2 linked regions of the Astyanax mexicanus genome follow. The protein of the gene in region 1 interacts with the protein of each later gene in a pairwise test. Links are inferred from orthologs where the notes say so. Each region holds a gene or a part of one and is shown on either strand. Other genes may lie near its edges.

Evidence for each region.
Region 2: the proteins of rfx6 (region 1) and calcium-responsive transactivator interact in binary tests that used the Homo sapiens proteins (3 or more experiments, as listed by UniProt). The two-hybrid records come from large-scale screens. The link is inferred for Astyanax mexicanus from reciprocal best matches to the Homo sapiens genes RFX6 and SS18L1.

What each region holds. Positions count from the first base shown.
Region 1 is NC_064408.1:80,256,982-80,260,911, forward strand, and holds the start of rfx6 (DNA-binding protein RFX6), read left to right. Parts: upstream 1-1,062; 5' UTR 1,063-1,958; coding exon 1,959-2,157; intron 2,158-2,641; coding exon 2,642-2,795; intron 2,796-2,934; coding exon 2,935-3,058; intron 3,059-3,178; coding exon 3,179-3,240; intron 3,241-3,359; coding exon 3,360-3,437; intron 3,438-3,615; coding exon 3,616-3,643; intron 3,644-3,764; coding exon 3,765-3,872; intron 3,873-3,930. UniProt on the Homo sapiens protein: Transcription factor required to direct islet cell differentiation during endocrine pancreas development. Specifically required for the differentiation of 4 of the 5 islet cell types and for the production of insulin.
Region 2 is NC_064420.1:51,064,247-51,068,176, forward strand, and holds the start of calcium-responsive transactivator, read left to right. Parts: upstream 1-1,737; 5' UTR 1,738-2,055; coding exon 2,056-2,124; intron 2,125-3,930. Other genes in the region: proteasome subunit alpha type-7, read right to left, coding at 158-253. UniProt on the Homo sapiens protein: Transcriptional activator which is required for calcium-dependent dendritic growth and branching in cortical neurons. Recruits CREB-binding protein (CREBBP) to nuclear bodies.

The sequences.
Region 1 (3,930 bases):
AGGGCAGTGTGCGGTGAAGTGTGATGAAGTAACGTTAACATAAATATCATATTTATAATACACGTTTTTAACAGTTTAACAGAAGCTCAATAATTGAAAATACTAAAAAAAAAAAGCTAAAAAAAAAACCTGAACTCCAACATTTACATTTGTGCCACTTTCAGGAGCACTAAAATGTATTAAACTGCTATTTTGGAAATATGGTTTGTTTTTCTATGTGAAAATCACTTAAACTAATAGATACTGGCAAGACTGTTAATAATGAACACCTTATGCCAGATAACCAGACATGTATAAAATACTAGACACATAGACTTGAGTGAAAGTACAAGAGCTCTGTCAAAAAAGTGTCTTGAGTAGAACTTAAGTGGTTGTACTAAAGAATTCAAGATTTTGGTACTTAAGTATTGCACTGGATCAACAGATTTACTATTTACAGTAATTGGAAAGTAAAATTATTTATTTTCTTACAAAGCACACTTATATTGTTAGAAGACAATGCGTTTGACATGTAGGATTAATTAAAAAAGCTTAATTAAAAATGCAAAGGATTGTTGGTTTAAAACTTGTATTGGCTAAGCTTCACTGTTGGGTCCCTGAGCAAGGTCCTTAACCCTTACTGCTACCTGGGTGCCCACGTGAAAGCTGCCCATTGACTTGCTGTGTGCATTCAATGCAAGGATGAATTTAAGGCAAAGGTAAGCATGATTGACTTCATCTGGAAAAAAAAATGAAAAGCAGCAGAAGCACACACGTAGGACAGGTCCTGTTAGTCTGTAACAGATTATTGTGTTAATATTTTGTGCACTGTCCTGCTAAATCTGCTCTATTCAGATTAGCATTTAGAGTACAGTTTATAGTTGAAGTGTGCCAAATGCAAGTAGCTAGTAAAAAAAAAAAAAAAAAAAAAAAAAATATATATATATATATATATATATATATATATATATATATATATATATATATATATATATATATATATATATATATAGGAATGTCTTCCTATGTACTGGATCTACTATAATTAAAAATAAAGTGGATTGTTTGCATTTTTAAATCCTTATAATGTAAAATAAAAAAGCAAACAGGACATCTCCTCGACTATTTATAACCCCATCCCCACGCCATATTCATTAACGGAAAAAGGCCATCATAGCAACATTAATGACAACATGTAATTTGAGTGGTGGGCCATTCTCAGCAAAACAATGATATCAACATGGCTTGGTAAAGTCATTCTCTTACCCTGTTTAGTAGTCTGTTTCTAATCACATATGATCTTTTTTGGTGGACTCTCAAGCTAGTGGTGACCCTTAAATGCAAAAAAAAAAAAAAAAAAACAGTAGAAGGGGATAAAATCAGTAACCACAAACATACAAAGTGCATCTATATGGTAAAAACTTTCAGATGAAAAAAAAAAAATAGTGCTAAGGATATAAGGATGTGCATGATCTTGCTGCCCTAGCCCTGCTGAAAGCAGGCACTGCAGAATGAAGGCTCTGGATGGGGCTATAGTCCAGTGGAAAGGCCACAGAACAGGTTTGATGGAGACGATGGCCCCTCGGGTTAATCATTAATACACAGAATCTACTGCCAGTCTTCTGTAAATAAGATAAATGCCCCCAAGGCACTCACCTCAGTGACGTACTATTTCAGACACAGCACAGCTTTAATTAAGACAGGAAGGTGTAACGTATTCCAGCGGCTTGATGTTTGGATGTGGACAAAATGATTCTTTCTAAATTTCAGTTTGAATATTAGTGTAAAGGATGTTTGTGTACACTGTTTCATTTTGGTGTTAGTGATTTTTTTTCTCCAGAACCTGAGATGTGCACCATTACAGTACTGGACCAATGCATCAAACTGGAGTCTCTTTTTTAAAGTGTTTATTGAAAATATCTGGAACGGAGGAAGACTGAGTGTGTCCACAGCTCATCTTTTTGAATGAACCTGGTAACATGCCAATGAAAAGGAATAGTGGAAGTTCTGTGGAGAATAACATGTTTCATCAGCTTCAGCCACCACAGCCAAAGAGGACTTACAGTAATGCTGATGATTTCCACCCAGCAAACTCCAGTGAGCAGCAAGACCTTAGAAAAAACATGTTTTTCAAAGAAACGTTTGAGGAAGAGGAGGAGGATTCAGGAATTAAATCAGGTTAGTATTATCTTTTTCATATTTTTAGATTGGTCAGGATTAGAGCTTTAATCGGATCACATATTAGAGGCATGTTTATTTGTCTAACAGCACCGTCCATACACAGTGGAATAGATCTTATTTTGTCAGTTATAAATATATAGAAAGTTTTTTTTCGACAGTTCATATGATATACATAATTGTGCCACAGTAAAATATTTTTTTTATGGTATTATATTTTATGGTGGATGATGGTAAATTAATAAATGTCTAATGCTGGAATTTGTTATGTTTGTAAATCTCAGGTACAATGTTTATAAAACAAGAGTTTATAAAAATGGCATTTAATGCATATTAAGCTATTTTTCCATAAAGACAGCAGTAAGGAAAGTTGTTTATGATAAAATAATTATTACATTTTCAAAGCAGTATTTTAAAAAATGGCATTGATTAACCAGACCATTGAAAGTATAGTGCAATCTTTGTTTATTCATTTATTTGACAGAGGCAGAGGAAAGCAATGGAACCATATCCTCTGAAGATGACTTAGACCACCTTGAATACTCAAAGAACATTGCTCTGAAGCAAAGTGTCGAAAAGAAAAGCATCAGTCAAATCATCAAAGACAAGAAGAAACAGACCCAACTAACATTATTGTGGTACTTATTTCATTATCCTTATCCAGTTACACCAAGTTAGTTTTATCAAGCAATACTCAATAATATTACATTGACTTTACCTCAATTTCCATAAACAACTTATGCCCTATTTTGTACTTTTTACATTTTCATGAATTAGGCTTGAGGAAAACTATATAGTTTGTGAAGGTGTGTGCTTGCCTCGCTGTATCCTCTACGCTCATTACCTGGACTTCTGTCGGAAGGAGAAGCTAGATCCTGCTTGTGCCGCCACTTTCGGCAAAGTAAGCAGTGTTCCTTCAAATAGTAGAAAAATGATTTTAAGATTTTGTACACTGCAAAAAACAAAAGAAAATTTACATTTATTATTATTTACTGATTGTTTACTTTCTTTATTACTGTAGACTATACGGCAGAAATTTCCACTACTTACAACCCGGAGGCTCGGCACCAGAGGCCATTCAAAGTAAGACAAAGACAGATCACAGAGAGTGAGAGTGATACAAAAATGACTTTTTAATTAATTTGCCAGATCACCAGTTTTAGTCATGAACAGTGTTTAAATGTATTTTTTTATTGTTCCAGGTATCACTACTACGGTATAGGGATTAAGGAGAGCAGCTCCTATTATCATTCAGTTTATTCAGGAAAAGGTCTTACCAGGTAATTTTAAAGCTTCAACCAACAATGCATTTCTGCTTGTTTTTGCTCAGATCAGGAGATTCTAGGATTTAGAATTTTAAATATGTAAATTAATGCTTTATAGAAAAGTATAATGTACTTTTAAAAAAATGTAATAATTGCTATTTTTACTTAATGACTCTTTTATGCATTGTAACAGATTCTCTGGGAGCAAGCTCAAAAATGAGGTTGGCATTTTTAATAGTTGATGTTATGTTTATTGTTACTTAAATATAATGAGGAATTAAATATGAAATATTGTTATTTCTGTTAGTTCCTCAAAACATGTCTTCTTTTGCTAAATCACAGGGGGGCTTCACACGGAAATATTCACTTAGCTCTAAAACAGGAACATTACTACCAGAATTTCCAAGTGCACAGCATTTAGTACTTGATGACTCTGTTTCAAAGGAAAAGGTTTGTTTGCTGTTGTTCTAATGAATAAAATAGTTTATTTGATGTGTTCATCCTGTAT
Region 2 (3,930 bases), on another chromosome or scaffold:
CCTAATAAAATCCAATTAAATATCTAATTATTCTAACTAATTATTTAGTGATTATTTTGGGATATCTAAAAAAAATACACGAAATACAGAAAGAGTTCATACAGTAGAGGATTTATATAATAAAAGCTCAGGTGTGATCAGGTGGTTCTAGACTCACCGCGGTGGAACCTTTCTTCACGGCTTCCTGCGCGTACTCCACCTGGAACAGGTGACCGTCAGGTGAGAACACGGTGATGGCTCGGTCGTAGCTCATGGTGGTTCTGCTCAGTTCAGGTTCGGCTTCGGTTCGGTTCTGCTGGCTTGAGTCTCTCCCGGTCTCAGTTCTGTATGAAGTAAAAGTGAAAGTGAATTGACTGAATGAAACAGCAAAAATTCCAGCGCCCCCCTCCGGCACCAACACGCTACTGCACACAGGCCCCGCCCTCTAGCGCTGTGATTGGATAAGAGAGCTGGTAAAAGACGGCGATTGGTTAGAACTGGGTGGAATCAGCAGGGCAACAAGAACGAGTAGGAGATTCGCCAAATCTACAGTGATACAGCTTTTTATTCATTTATTTATTTTTTTATATTTTTACAAAATAACTATATAAGAACTATACTAATAAAACACAGGGATAAATTATAAATAGTCATTATTTATATAAAATAACACATTTGTAAAAAAAAAAATCTCTAATATAGATAAAAATAAGTGGCAATTATGTTTTTGATACAGGAAAAGGGAGAATATCTGGTTAAATAAAATAAATAAATTATAACTATTGATCTAATATAAGAAATAAATGAAAAATGCTTGTTCTAATACGTAAAAAATACATATTATATTTGTATGATATAAATACAAGAAAAATGCTAATTATTGATCGAATATTAAAATAAATTATAATTATGGACCTGATATGCCAAAACAAGTACTTATTATTTTACCAATATTTTCATTAAATAATTAATGATCTTAGATACTTAGCACTAATTATAATTTTTAATACAAGAAAAATGGAGGATAATTAGTGAACTATACAAATTATGTGGAATTAAATAGAAATTAAGTAAAGTGTGTCCAATGCAAATATATATATATATATATATATATATATATATATATATATATATATATGAAAAAATGTATACAAAAAAATTACACCAGAAAAAGTGCTAATTGCTTACCTAATATAAACGTGTAATTGTGCATAATTGAATTAAAAACAAATACTCATTTTAAGTTCTAGCCCAACATTGAAAATAAGTGCTTATTATTTGTACAGAAATACAGAAATAAAAAAACATTAAAACTGTGTAACTGTTTAATTATTTGTCTATTATAAGAAAAAAACATTATGGTGTAGCATATTTGTTGTATTATATGGTAAATATAGGTTTTAGCATAATGTGGACAGTAAGTAATTAATGATAATTATTATATTGATCCAGTAGGGACAATATATGTTTATTATTTGGCTAATATAGAAAAACATTAATAAGTTAAACATTTATACAATATGAGACGCTCAGAAAGTGCTCAGAAAATAACTATTAATGTAACATCAAAAATAATTATATTTCTAATTATTTATACAAGAAAATAAATAAATGAGAATAACCTAGCGTGTTAGTGAATGTAGGGAATAAGGAGTTAAAATTATAGAGACATAGCTGCGCATGCGCAGTGTGAGTACAGCGCTGTTATGAATGTGCGCTAGGCGGACTGTACCATAATCAGCGAGGGGGGTGTATTATTTACCCCCGGGGGCAAATCCAGCTCCTACCCTCCCTGATACACACCGCACCCCACCTGATCACCCGCGTGCGTTAGTGCAACAGTGTCCCGCGCGCTCTGGGCGCGTGCAGGTGTGTGCTGCCGTGTGCTGTTTGCAGGTGCAGGCTCGTGCGCCCCCCGCGTGCTCGGCGTGTGCGCGCGCGCAGAGAGACCCAAGCAGGCTCCGGGAGACGCGCGCGCAGAGACCTGTATATAAATATATAACACATTACTGGGGTATAATCCAGACTGGGGTGCGTGCACGCGCGTGCGCTCACGTTCCGGAGGTGCAGAGGAAGATGTCAGTCACGTTCTCGTCCACGCGCCCGAGGGGCAAAGGAGAGGTGACCCAGCAGACCATCCAGAAGGTAAGGGGGGGGGGGGGATGCTGGAGGCTGGTGCTGATGATGGTGGGAAAGTGATGCTGATGATAGTGATAATGATGATGATGATGATGATGATGATGGCCATAACGATGATGATGCTGATGCTGATGGTGACAGCTCGTCCATCCAGACAGTAAGACAATAGCCGCGCTCTGCATGCATGCCTGCACGTCCCTGCCTGCACTGGAGCTCGAGCTGCTGCTGCTGCTGTTATAATGCAATGCCACACTTGCCGTTTGCACGAGCTGTCACGTGCTGCACGTCAGCACATGCATAATTGCAGTTGGGAGCGAGCAAACCTTTTATCTTCTATTAAACATCTCCTTAAAATGATCGGTTTCTCTAATTTTACTATTTATATCTATATCTTTCAGTAAAATTGTTGTTTGATTCTATATTTTGATTTTCTATTTAATTTCAATAGTGACAACAATAATAACGAGAAAAGTACATTTTGTGATGGAACGCAGGATAGTTGTGCACCAAACATATCCTGGACATTTGCTAGGTGGTTATGTGTTGCTAGATGGTTTCTAATGTTTTGCTAGATAGTTGCTATGGTATCCCAGATGGTTGCAGGCACGTGCTATGGTGTTGCCAGGTGGTTGTTAATGTGTTGCTAGATGGTTGTTATGGTATTCCAAGGGGTTGCTAGCTAGTTGCTAGGGTGTTTGTAGGTGCTTCCTATGGTGTTGCTAGGTGGTTGAAAATGTGTTGCTAGATGATTGCTATGGTATTCCAGGTGGTTGCTATCTAGTTGCTAGGGTGTTTGTAGGTGCTTGCTAATGTTTTGCTAGATAGTTGCTATGGTATGCCAGGTGGTTGCCAGCTGGTTGCTAGGGTGTTTGTAGATGCTTGCTAATGTATTGCTAGATAGTTGCAATAGTATCCCAGATAGTTGCTACCTGGTTGCTTGGGTCTTTGTAGGGGTTTGCTTATGTGTTGCCAGATGGTTGCTATGGAGTTTGTGGGTTGTTGCTATGGTGTTGCCAGGTGGTTGTTAATGTGTTGCTTGGTGGCTGCTATGGTATCCCAGGTTGTTCCTAGCTGGTTGCTAGGTTGTTTGTAGGTGCTTGCTAATGCATTACTAAATAGTTGCAATGGTAGGTGGTTTCTAATGTGTTGCTGGATAGTTGCTATGGTATTCTAGATGGTTGCTATGGAGTATGCAGGTGCTTGCTATTGTGTTGCTATGTGGTTGCTAGCTGCTTGCTAGGCTGTTTGTAGGGGGTTGCTAATTTGTTGCCAGGTGTTTACCATGGTATACCAAGTTGTTGCTATGGTGTTGCCACATGGTTGCTAGCTGGTTGTTATGGTGTTGATAGCTGGAGGTAGTTTCATCTACAGCTCACAGTGAGAGCTAGCCAGGCTAAATATAAGTACAGCTTCCAAACATGGTGGAGGTAGTTTCATCATCTACAATTCGGTGAAAGCTAGTACTGTCTGAGCTGTCACCCATTGCTACTGACACAGATGTGCAAATGCACACACTGCTTGCCTAGTCCCTGCAGAAGAGTGCTGAAAATAACTGCCAATAGAATAGGACCCTCTGGAGCAGATATACATAAACCTATTGGAACTATGCCTAATGCCTGGACACACTAATGCTAATGTTGCTGAATGCAATCAAACCCTAACAGTAGTGCTCCAGAATATAGGAGAAAGTTTTATTTGGATAGTAGACATAAGGGAAATGAGGAGGTTCTGGGTGACCCAGTTTAATCAGAGCGAGTTCTGGTGGAACTGAAGAGCCAGAAACCCACAGCGGCTCTACAGCAGAGGTTACAG